Danio rerio: one gene and its partner. The protein of the gene in region 1 interacts with the protein of each later gene in a pairwise test. Links are inferred from orthologs where the notes say so. Each region holds a gene or a part of one and is shown on either strand. Other genes may lie near its edges.

The links.
Region 2: the proteins of myo5b (region 1) and rab11bb interact in binary tests that used the Homo sapiens proteins (3 or more experiments, as listed by UniProt). The link is inferred for Danio rerio from reciprocal best matches to the Homo sapiens genes MYO5B and RAB11B.

What each region holds. Positions count from the first base shown.
Region 1 is NC_133196.1:23,909,267-23,914,949, forward strand, and holds part of myo5b (unconventional myosin-Vb), read right to left. Parts: intron 5,457-5,683; coding exon 5,306-5,456; intron 5,227-5,305; coding exon 4,932-5,226; intron 2,314-4,931; coding exon 2,139-2,313; intron 2,055-2,138; coding exon 1,974-2,054; intron 1-1,973. UniProt on the Homo sapiens protein: May be involved in vesicular trafficking via its association with the CART complex. The CART complex is necessary for efficient transferrin receptor recycling but not for EGFR degradation.
Region 2 is NC_133177.1:59,785,592-59,792,464, reverse strand, and holds the start of rab11bb (RAB11B, member RAS oncogene family, b), read right to left. Parts: upstream 4,661-6,873; 5' UTR 4,457-4,660; coding exon 4,417-4,456; intron 1-4,416. UniProt on the Homo sapiens protein: The small GTPases Rab are key regulators of intracellular membrane trafficking, from the formation of transport vesicles to their fusion with membranes.

The DNA of each region.
Region 1 (5,683 bases):
CTGTGAAGAAAATGTACATACGTTTGAGTGTGTAACTGAAGAGTATGCAAGTTTTGGGACATATTACTTCTTCATTAATGGATGTCTTGTTGCTTAGTTAGTTACAGTAGGTCCCCTGTCAATCATTTCTTTCATATTTAATGATCTACCTTATTGAAGATGCAGAAGCAGGTTAATCTAACATTCGCAAGTTTTTCATGCAGAAAATCTCCTTAGTTCTTTGGATAAATATGTTAATTTTTTTTATAGAAGTTCATATTGGTGTTGCAGATGAACTATAACATGGAAAACGTGATTTCATTTTTTTAAAGTTGGCTAGAAATTAACTCATAGTCATTAAAACTTCTTAACCAAAGCCCCTTTACTTAACAGTTGGTCTTGTGCGTCCATGTTTGTAGCTTGTTTACACTTTTTACCCAAGTTTGTAGTACTAATCAAATTTAATGCACACTGTATTGGGGCAATATTAGTGGTTAGAGCAGGGGTGTGCAACTAATTTTTCCAGGGTCCACATTAGACTCTGGGGGGTATAGAAAGCTAGACCAATACAGGTATTTGTTTTCAAAAAATAAAAACATTCTGTGAAACTATTCAATTAACATTCATAAAAACTCTCGTTTAAAAAAGAATCAATTTTAAATAAAAAGTATTTTAAAGAGCAGCATCACAATACTGACTTCATATAAATGCCACGGGGTTGTTTGATTGATTGCTTTACTTCAGTTAATATTCATTCTGATCTGACAATGCGAGTTAACACGAGGGGACTTTAGCTATGCCTTTTGCGCTCTCAGTTTCGTTATTTCAAATGGAGATGCGCCTGTTCAGCGCGCAAATAGGAAGAGATACACATGCAGTACGTCACTCTCACATCAACACCACAGTGACTCAGACTCTGCTTTATTATCCCGTTAGGGAAACTAAAATTGCAACAAGGTACCATAACACAGGCGAAAGTTCCATGTCGGTGGGTATTTACATTGCTGGTGGTGCTCTGCCAGGCCTCTACTCAACTGTCTTCAGTTCCTGTTTGCTCTTGGGGCATTTTCCCTTCAGTTTTGTGAAATGCAGGCTCAATCGAATTCGGATCAGGTGATTGACTTGACCACTGCATAACATTCTACTTCTTTCCCTTCATAATTTGATTGCTTCACCTTAGGTACATTTTATTTATTTATCCTTAATTTTTATATTAACTTAGAGAATTCTAGCCTGAGTTGGGCTGAACAAGCGCACTGAATTCAGGCCAATGTGAGGTGGATATGTGCTGTAATGATCATCACTGAGAGAGGATCTGTATCTGCATTTGTTAAACCATTAATCTGAGGTAATTAGTCTACTTTTATTACTGTGTAATTCTATACAAAGTGTGAAGTTGCCTGGTTGGTTCCTTTCACATGACTTGTGGTTCGCTTGCTGCACTGAAATGTTTAGATTTTTTTTCAACCCGTGTCGCCTGGAAAACGTGAGCGTGACATACCACATGTGTATCTCTTCCTACAGTATTTGCGCGCTGAACAGGCATGTCTCCATTTAAAATAATGAAACTGAGAGGGCAAAAGATGCTATATGTTAAAGTCCCTTTTTGTTCACTCGCAATATCAGACCTGTGCATTGAAAGGCCCTTTTTGCAGTTGAATTTAAATTAAATAAATACTTCACTGGCCGTAAAATGGCCAGGTCTGGGTGAGACTATGGACAGTTCTACATTTCGCATTTTTACTAGAAATAGTAGACACTCCGGGAATCTTTGGCATGCTTTTTTCAACATACTATGGTTTCAGACATACTAATTCTAATTTCGAATACTATTTAGGGCGGATAGTATGCAAATTGGGACGCAGCATTATACTTTTCAAGCAGGTGTATGTTCTGTAACTTGTGCTGTGACCTCAAAATTTCATTGTTTTTAATATGGAATGCTTAAATGTTTTGATTTATAAGTGCATGTATGTATGTGTGCTTCATTTTACCTGTATGTCTCTTATGAAGGAAACAGTGACTCGCTCCTCAAACTCATTGAGTGGTGTGTACAAGTTCAGAATCTTCACAATCTGAGATAGAGCAAAATTGAGTTAATAAAAGTAAAAACAAAACAAAACAAATAGAAAGGAAAAAAATGAAAGCTAAATGTGTACCTGCTGTAAACTGAGTGCAGTGCAGAGCGAGCAGATGGCTTCAGCGTCCTGTGATGTCTTCTTCTTCACCTGCAGCAGCTGCGCGGCCTGAATGACCGGCTCCATAGTGGCCACAGCTCCACACTGGTGCAGGTTCTTCCCTCTTAGCCACTCCTCCAGCTGACTGATGTTGTACCTGAAACCACACGTTACATTCATCTGACATTACTTTTTTTAGTCAATTATGTTTTCTTGAAGTCAAAGATTGCAAAAAGGTTTCACATTTGACATATTTTACCTATGCAAAGAATGCAACAAAATTAGAAAGAAGCAAGAATTAACAAACAAAAAAGAACTAGACATCGACACAATTCTAACATTTTTAGCTCTATACACCAACACAATAGATTTGAAATGAAACAAGATGTGCTTTAACCACAGACTGTCAGCTTTAATTTGAGGGTATTTGAGATCAAAAAGTTTGCATATGTGCCTCCCACTTGTTAAGGGACCAAAAGTAATTAGACAGAATAATAATCATAAATCAAACTTAAAATCAAACACTGGGTTTCATTACTGGTGTTGCTCTGCCAGGCCTCTACAACCACTGTCTTCAGTTCCTGTTTGTTCTTGGGGCATTTTCCCTTCAGTTTTGTCTTCAGCAAGTTAAACGCATGCTCAATCGGATTCAGGTCAGGTTATTGACTTGGCCATTGCATAACATTCCACTTCTTTCACTTCAAAAACTCTTTGGTTGCTTTAGCAGTTTTATTTGGGTCATTTTCCATCTGCACTATCCAATGAGTTCTAAAGCATTTGGCTTAATATGAGCAGAAAATATTGCCTGAAACACTTCAGATTTCATCCTGCTGCTTTTGTCAGCAGACACATCATCAATAAAATACAAGACAACCAGTTCTTTTGACAGCCACACATGCCCAAGCCATGTCACTACTACCACCATGCTTCACTGTGTAGGATCATGAGCCATTCCTTTCCTTCTCCATACTCTTCTCTTCCCTTCACTCTGGTACAAGTTGATCTTGGTCTCATCTGTCCATAAAATATTGTTCTAGTGCTGTGAAGGCTTTTTTAGAGCTCTAATCTGGCCTTCCTGTTTTTGAGACTCACCAGTGGTTTACATCTTGTGGTGAACCCTCAGTATTCACTCTGGTAAAGCCTTCTCTTGATTGTTGACTCTGACAGAAATACACCTACATGCTGGAGAGTGTTCTTAAACTGGCCAACGGTTGTGAAGAGTGTTTTCTTTACCAGGGAAAGAATTTTTTGGTCATCCACCACAGCAGTTTTCTGTGGTCTTCCGTGTCTTTTGGTGTTGCTGAGCTCACTGGGACATTTTTTTCTTTTTAAGAATGTTCCAAACAGTTGTTTGGCCACACCTGATGTTTCTGCTATCTCTCTGGTGTTTTTCTTTTCAGCCTATTGATGGCTTGCTTGACAGATAATGACAGCTCATTGGAACTCATCTTAAGAGTTGACAGTAACAGATTCCAAATACAAATAGCACACTTGAAATGAATTCTGGACCTTTTATCTGCTCATTGTAATTGACATAATGAGGGTATAACACACACCTGGCCATTGAACAACTTGGAAGCCAATTGTCCAGTTACGTTTGGACCCTTAACAAGTAGGAGGCACATATACAAACGGTTGTAATTCCTACAGCTTTCACCTGATTTAGATGTAAAAAGTCTGCAGTTAAAGCACATCTTGTAACACAAAAATGTTAGAATTGTGTCGAAGTCCAAATATTTATGAACCTATTTGTATATACTAAATCTAAATATAAATAAACAATTTGTGAGATTTATGCAGGCATGTGTTTTTACACAGAACATGCATAATAAATATACACACACTTAAATTCAAATGTCAAAACAAACTTTTAGTTTAGATGAGATGAATCAATTTTTGCCCAGGACTAAAAAAAACACATCACAAACCATCTACAAGACCCAATTTACCAAGACCTGTTTAAACTCCAGAGTATGATCAAAGAAAAAGATAAACACAAACAAATGATGCTTTACATAGGGTTTTCACCAAGGTAACATGCAAAATATCTTTCTTTTTTTTATTACTTTTTAGGGGCTTTTCACCATTATTAGGATAGGACAGTGGAGATTTTAGACAGGAAAGCATTGGGAGCAGAAAGAGACTTGAAGGATTAGCAAAGGATCTCGAGCCGGGATTTGAACTTGGGTTGCCATGAGTACCTCAGTGCAACATGTTGCTGCAAAAACCACTAGGCTATTGGCACCATTGGCAAATAATGTTTTTCAGGTGTTAGTATCAGTATGTTAGTGTTAAATGTCTAGTGCTCTCCAAAGCATTGACGAATTTCATGTTTAGATGATATAAACCTGACGTAAACACCCAAAGCTTGCAGTTTGCAGTTCCGTCTAAATGGATCAACGTTTTTTTTCAATGATTCTTACCAAATCTTGACCAATCAAATGTGCTCTAGTATCTAACATGCCCCCGCCACCCCCACTACCACCTTCAAAGCGCTTCTTATTTAAGGCAGAGCTGTAATGAAAACGAAATGCTATTGGCTGTTTTTAAAAAAAGAGCTTATGCTACTATCATGCTAATCATGCTACTATTTGCCCCACCCTCTCTTTATATTTTGATTAAGATTACATCAAACATTTAATACAAATGCACATTTTAAAGCCCTTATTGACTTTGTGGCTGTAATTAAACCCATTCACTGCTCTTTAAGTTTACCTAACTATGATGACTGCTGAGAAAAATATTAATTAGCCTAAAAGCATTAAAAATGTGTACCTGAGCTGCATGCCGGTGCTCCAGGAGCAGACGTCCTTGCGCAGCAGCAGGTTGTTGAGGGTCACTGCGTTGATGGAGTAGAAGAGCTGGCGAAGCACCTGCTGGCTGATCTCAGGGTCCAGGCCGTGGTCCGCCATGGTAGAGTAAAACTGAGCCAGCTGTTTGATCAGTGCCTGAAGCGTGTATCCTGCGGGACCTCCACTCTCACAGTCCACACTAGAGGAGCGGTTCCTGTAACCCATGGGCTTCACTCCGGCCAGGCTGGGGATGCTCTCGCTCTCAAGCATGGCAGACACTACAAAACACACTCATTATGAAAAAATGTACTGTGCTAATGATCAATCTTCTTTGGTTTGGTGTCTCTCTGCACCTACCGATCATGGGCTGCATGTTGGCCTCGGCAACTTTCACAAGCTGCTGATAGATTTGGATGGAGAGGTCACTCAGAACCTGTCGGTACTCCGCCAGGTCAAAGTTCTTCAGGCAGTGCTCGTTCTGCTTGGCAGAGTTCTGGGTCATGAACGCCTAGGACAGAATTAGACAGGCAAATCATACCGAGCACTGGTTACACTTTATTTTTGATGCTCCCCTGTGGACTATTGGCTTATTTTAAGTAACTACAGTCGTGTAAAAAGACACCCTATTGAATTTCAGGTTTTTTAGTTTCAAGACATTAAAAAAAACTGCTTGGTAGGTCTTAAAATTTGAAAGATAACACCTCAGATGAACAACATCACATGACATCTCACACT
Region 2 (6,873 bases), on another chromosome or scaffold:
ATATGCCAATCGAACCGCTCTAACTGGGCAAACGAGACACGTTCCGAAACAAAAGTGTAGGTGTGAAAGCACCCTAAGTCTCTATATAAGTCTGTATATATATAAAAAAGTTTGTGTTTTAGGTGCGTGTTTAAACAGACATATACACATAATTAATACGATTAATATCTAAAGATGTCGATCTTGGTGAGTTTTTTTTTTTCCAAACACAAGTAATTTTGTCCTAAATGAGTATAAACAGTTAGGAAAGCAGTCGAATGCTTTTATTTCAATGTTAGATGTGTGCATTTTTAAAGTGACACCCGTTATTTAATGTAATCAGATGAAAAAATATCTAAATAAGTCATTCAGTCATTGCTCTTTAATCAGAATGTGTACGTTATACAGTGAAGAAACCGCTAATGAGATTTGATTCTATTTCATTATAAAAGCTATTCATTTTAATAAGCTGAACTGTTTGCTAATTTATTTGCTGCTGATGTATACTATTTAGTTTTTCTTTTGTAAGTACTAATAATAATAATAAAGCATATTACTGACCATTTAACTGTTTGTTTACAGTGAAACTGCTCTAAATGAGCATATTTAGTAATTTGGGGATTTTTTAAAGGGGGGTCAGGGGAATCCCTTATTATGGTGAGCATATCGCTTATTTTCACATACCAATGTTGACAGGTATGGTAGGGGTAGACGTTAATAACATAAAATGAATGGCTAATTTAATAAATAATATGAATAATTCTTGACATATTTACTGTTTTTACATTAGTGTGAGGGGTAAATTTATGGTTGGCGTAGAGGTAGATGTTAATGACATACAGTTGAATGTATTTCTGTTTAATGGAGAGCAGATTTCTTCAGCACATTTCTAATCATCATAGTTTTAATAACTCATTTCTAATAACTGATTTATTTTATCTTTGTCATGATGACAGTAAATAATATTTGACTAGATATTCTTCAAGACACTTCTACACAGCTTAAAGTGACATTTAAAGGCTTAACTAGGTTAATTAGGTTAACTAGGCAGGTTAGGGTAATTACCCAGGTTAGGTTACTTAGTCATTGTATAACGATGGTTTGTTCTGTAGACTATCAGAAAAATATATAACTTAAAGGGGCTAATAATATCAACCTTAAAATGGCTTCAAAAAAATTAAAAACTGCTTTTATTCAAGCCAAAATAAAGCAAAAAAGACTTTCTGCAGAAGAAAAAATATTGTCAGAGACACTGTGAAAATTTCCTTGCTCTGTCAAACATCATTTGGGAAATATTTAAATTAGGGAGCCTAATAATTCTGACTCCAATAGAACTATTATTGAGTAATTTATTAAATAATAAAATTAATTCTCATTATAATAACAGTTTTTACAATACTGTAAGGGTTTGGTTTAGGGGTAGATGTTAATAAAATACTATTTAATTAGTACATTAATAACTAATATGAATAATTCACGTTATAATTAGTGTTTTTACATAGGATTAGGGTTGGGGTAGATGTTTATAAAACACGATTAATGGGTAATTTAATAAATAATATAAGTAATTCTTGCTTTATGTGCTGTTTTTATATAAACGTGACGGTTGGGTTTAGGGGTAAATGTGAATAGAAAACATTTGAATGAGTAATTTAATAAAAAATATGAATAAATTTTGTTATAATTACTGTTTTTACTTTAGTGTGAGGGTTGGGGTAGGCATTAATAAAATACAATTTAATTAAATAAATAATATGGATAATTCTCGTTATATTTACTGTTTTTATATTACTGTGAGGGTTGGGTTTTGGCTTATGCTAATAAAATACATTTTAATGAGTAATTTATTAAATAATATGAATAGTTCTTGTTACAATTACTGTATTTAAATTAATGTGAGAGGAAGGTTTAGAGGAAGATGTAAATAAAAAACTATTTAATGAGTAAATTAATTAATAATATAAATAATTCTTGTAATATTTACTATTTTTACATTAGCGTGAGGGTTGGGTTTAGGGGTAAATACTAATAAAATACTATTTAATGAGTAAATTAATAAATAATATAAATGATTCTCATTTTAATAACTGCTTTTACATTAGTATGAGGGTTAGTTTTGGGGTTTGGGTAGGGGTAGACATTAATTAAAGACATTTTAACGAGTAATTTAATAAATAATATAAATAATTCTCATTATATTTACTGTTTTTACATTAGTGTGGGGGTTGGGTTCAGGGGTGGATGTTAATTAAATGCTATTTAATGGATGATTTAATAAGTAATATGAATAATTCTCATTATATTTACTGTTTTTACATTAGTGTGAGGGTTGGGTTTTGGGGTAGATGTTAATTAAATGCTATTTAATGGATGATTTAATAAGTAATATGAATAATTCTCATTATATTTACTGTTTTTACATTAGTGTGAGGGTTGGGTTTTGGGGTAGATGTTAATTAAAAGCTATTTAATGGATAATTTAATAAATATTAGGAATAATTATCATCATAAACACTGTTGTTACATTAGTGTGAGGTCTGTGTTTAGCATTGGGGAAGCAGACGTCAATACAAATAAAGGGTAAATTAATAAATTATATGAATAATACTTGCTTTAATTACTGTTTTTACATTACTGTTAAGGTTGGGTTAAGGGGTAGATGTTAATAAAACACAATTTATTTGATAATTTAATAAATAATATGAATATTTTCCTTATATTTACTGTTTTTTACATTGAAGTGAGGGTTGGGTTTGGGGGTAAATACTAATAAAATACATTTTAATGAGTAAATTAATAAATAATATGAATAATTCTCATTATATTTACTGTTTTTACATTAGTGTGAGGGTTGGGTTTTGGGGTAGATGTTAACTAAATGCTATTTAATGGATAATTTAATAAATAATATATATAATTCTAGTTATAATTACTGTTTTTACATTAGTATGAGGCTTGGGTTTTGAGGTAGAAGTTAATAAAATACTATTTATGGGTAATTTAATGAATATTATAAATAATTCTTGTTATATTTACTGGTTTTATATTAATGTGAGGGCTGTGTTTAGGGGTAGACGTTATTAAAATATTTAATGAGTAAATTAATAAATAATATAAATAATTCTCATTTTAATAACTGCTTTTACATTAGTATGAGGGTTAGTTTTGGGGTTTGGGTAGAGGTAGATGTTAATAAAATACATTTTAATGGGTAATTTAATAAATAATTCTTGTTATATTTACTGTTTTTACATTGGTGTGAGAGGTAGGTTTATGGGTAGGCACTAATAAAATACAATTTAATGAGTAAATTAATAAATAATATGGATAATTCTCGTCATATTTAATGTTTTACATTAGTGTAAGGCCTGGGTTTGGGGGTAAATGTTAATAAAATACAATTTAATGAGTAAATTAATAAATAATATACGCAATTCTCGTTATATTTACTGTTTTTACATTAATGTGAGGGCTGTGTTTAGGGGTAGACGTTAATAAAATACTAATTAATGAGTAAATTAATAAATAATATGAATAATTCTCATTTTTTTAATAACTGCTTTTACACTAATATGAGGGTTAGTTTTGGGGTTTGGATAGAGGTAGACGTTAACAAAATACATTTTAATGAGTAATTTCATAAATAATTGTTATATTTACTGCTTTGATATTTCTGTGATGTTTAGGTTAAGCGGTAGATGTTAATAAAATACTATTTAATGAGTAATTTAATAAATAATATGAACAATTCTCATGATAACTACTGTATTTACATTAGTGTGAGGGTTAGGGGTAAATGCTAATTAAATAATATTTAATGACTAATTTAATAGGTAATATGAATACTTCTCGTTATATTTACTGTTTTTACATTGTCGTGAGGGTTGGGTTCAGGGGTAGACGTAAACACAATACATTAAAATGAGTAATTTAATAAACAATATGAATAATTCTCGTTATAACTACTGTATTTACATTAGTGTGAGGGTTAGGAGTAAATGCTAATATTTAATGACAAATTAAATAGGTATTATAAATAATTCTAGTTATAATTACTGTTTTACATTGTCGTGAGGGTTGGGTTCAGGGGTAGACGTTAACACAATGAAATTCAATCAGTAATTTAATAAACAAAATAAATAATTCTCGTTAACTTCCGGTCGCAGCTGTATCCCTTCTAGCCGGTGTAAAGGCATCCAAGCAGATGTTTTACAGATCGATACATGAGTATTGAGGTATTGATGCCTCTGCGGGCGTTTCTATGTCAAACACTGTTATTTGTATATGTGTGTGGCATCATTTTACACAGGATGCCATTGCAAAAGACGCTTCCTCAACAGTGCCTATTCCCCAACAGGCTCCGATCTGTGTCAGACACATGCTACAGTAGCAACAATAGATGGATTATGAATGATTCTGACTGTATGCAGAATTTACCTTTGAACAAGAAATCGTATTCATCGTCTCTGTTGGCCATTTTAGACAAGCCGCCGCGTCCTGCAGTTCTTCCAGAAGGAGATGATCAGATGAGTTTGTGTTGATTAGCTCAGTGTAGAAAGAAAAGAGTCAAATAAAGGATAAAAGCGTACAATGCGCCACCGCCGCCGCCGCCGCTGCTGCTGTCACACCGCAGGAAGAGCGATCTGCTCGGGCTGCATTGGGGAGGAGTCCCGCTGAATAGAACCACAGCGGCCGGTAGGGGGCGCCACATTAGGACAAAAATGATTCATTGGATTCACAATATTTTTAATAAGTGGTTGCAAACTATTTATAAGGGCTAAATGTAAACAAATAAACTAAGTTGAACATAATTTAATTAGTTTGTTAACTTCAGCCCTTATAATTGTTTGCAAAGACCTTACCTTAAAAAAAATTAGCAAATCATAAATCAGTTTTTTCAGTGCTCACACACTGCTCTCAGATCAGCAATATTATTCTTTAGAAATCTGTTCCTGTTTTTATAAGCTATTGTAACTTTTTATCACATGTCTGGAACAAACTCGCAATCCTGAGTTATTAAGTGAGAATTATGAGTTATGAAGTGATTTTCTGACTTCATATTTCAGAATTTGGACTTTATATTTCAGAATTCTGACTTTATTAGGAAAAATTATGACTTTATAACGCAGAATTCTGACTTTATATCTCAGATCTATGAATTTATATCTCTGTGTTTTGACTTTATATCTCAGAATGGTGACTATAATGCAGAATTATGACTTTATAATGCAGAATTATGAATTTATATCTCAGAATTATGACTTTATATCTCAGAATTATGACTTTATAATGCAGAATTATGACTATAATGCAGAATTATGACTTTATAATGCAGAATTATGACTATAATGCAGAATTATGACTTTATAATGCAGAATTAGGACTATAATGCAGAATTATGACTTTATAATGCAGAATTATGACTTTATATCTCAGAATTATGACTTCATTATGTAGAATTATGATTTTATATATCAGAATTATGACTTTATGATGCAAAATTATGACTTTATATCTCAGAATTATGACTATTTTGCAGAATTATGAATTTATAATGCAGAATTATGACTATAATGCAGAATTATGACTTTATATTGCAGAATTATGACTTTATAATGCAGAATTATGACTATAATGCAGAATTATGACTTTATATTGCAGAATTATGACTTTATAATGCAGAATTATGACTATAATGCAGAATTATGACTTTATAATGCAGAATTATGACTATATCTCAGAAGTATGACTTTATAATGCAGAATTATGACTTTATAATGCAGAATTATGACTTTACATCTCTGAATTATGACTTTATAATGCAGAATTATGACTATATAATGCAGAATTATGACTTTATAATGCAGAATTATGACTACATCTCTGAATTATGACTTTATATATCAGAATTGTGACTTTATATCTCTGAATTATGACTTTATATATCAGAATTGTGACTTTATATCTCTGAATTATGACTTTATAATGCAGAATTATGACTTTATAACTCAGAACTATAGCTTTATAATAATATTATTGACCTTAAAATGTTTTTTAAAATATTAAAAACTGCTTTTATTCTAGCCGAATCAAAACAAAATAGACTTTCTCCAGAAGAAAAAAATATTATAGGAACTGCTGTGAAAAATTCCTGAATCTGTTAAACATCATTTGAGAAATATTTGAAAAAGAATAACAATTCACTAGAGGGTGAATAATTCTGACTTCAGCTGTAGGTAAAGGATGATAATGCAGAAGTTCTGGAATCTCAGACAGGACGTGTGTGAGGTGACCTTCTGTGACCGCTCTGCTTCCTGTAGCAGACAGGAAGTGAGGTGTACCTGCTGAATAAGCAGCATGGAAAGGACAAATATACCATGTATTAATATATGAAGTGAATTTTGGGAATTTGGTTTTCAGCATTTCCTAGAGCTGTGAAGCCTGAGCTAATCCAAAGAAAAGGACTGAATTTTAGCCACAAGCATCCACATTTTTAAGCAGCTTAGCAAAGGTTTTAGCAAAACTGTTTCCTATCATGTATTTCACAGATGCTTTCATACAAAGTCATAAAGTTAAAATATTTCTGTGCATCATGTCTTATTGAATATTTCTTTCCAAGATTTTTGCTTTTAATAAGTTGAATAGTAAAATTCAAATAACATCTAAATTATTTTTAGGGCAGCATAGTTGGCTTAGTGGTTAGCACAGTCGCCTCACAGCAAGAAGGTCACTCGTTCAAGTCTCAGCTGGGCCAGTTGGCATTTCTGTGTGGAGTTTGCATGTTCTTCCCGTGTTGGTGTGGGTTTCCTTCAGGTGCTCCAGTTCCCCCCAGTATAAACACATGCACTATAGGGGAATTGATTAACTAAATTGGCCATAGTGTATGAGAGTGTG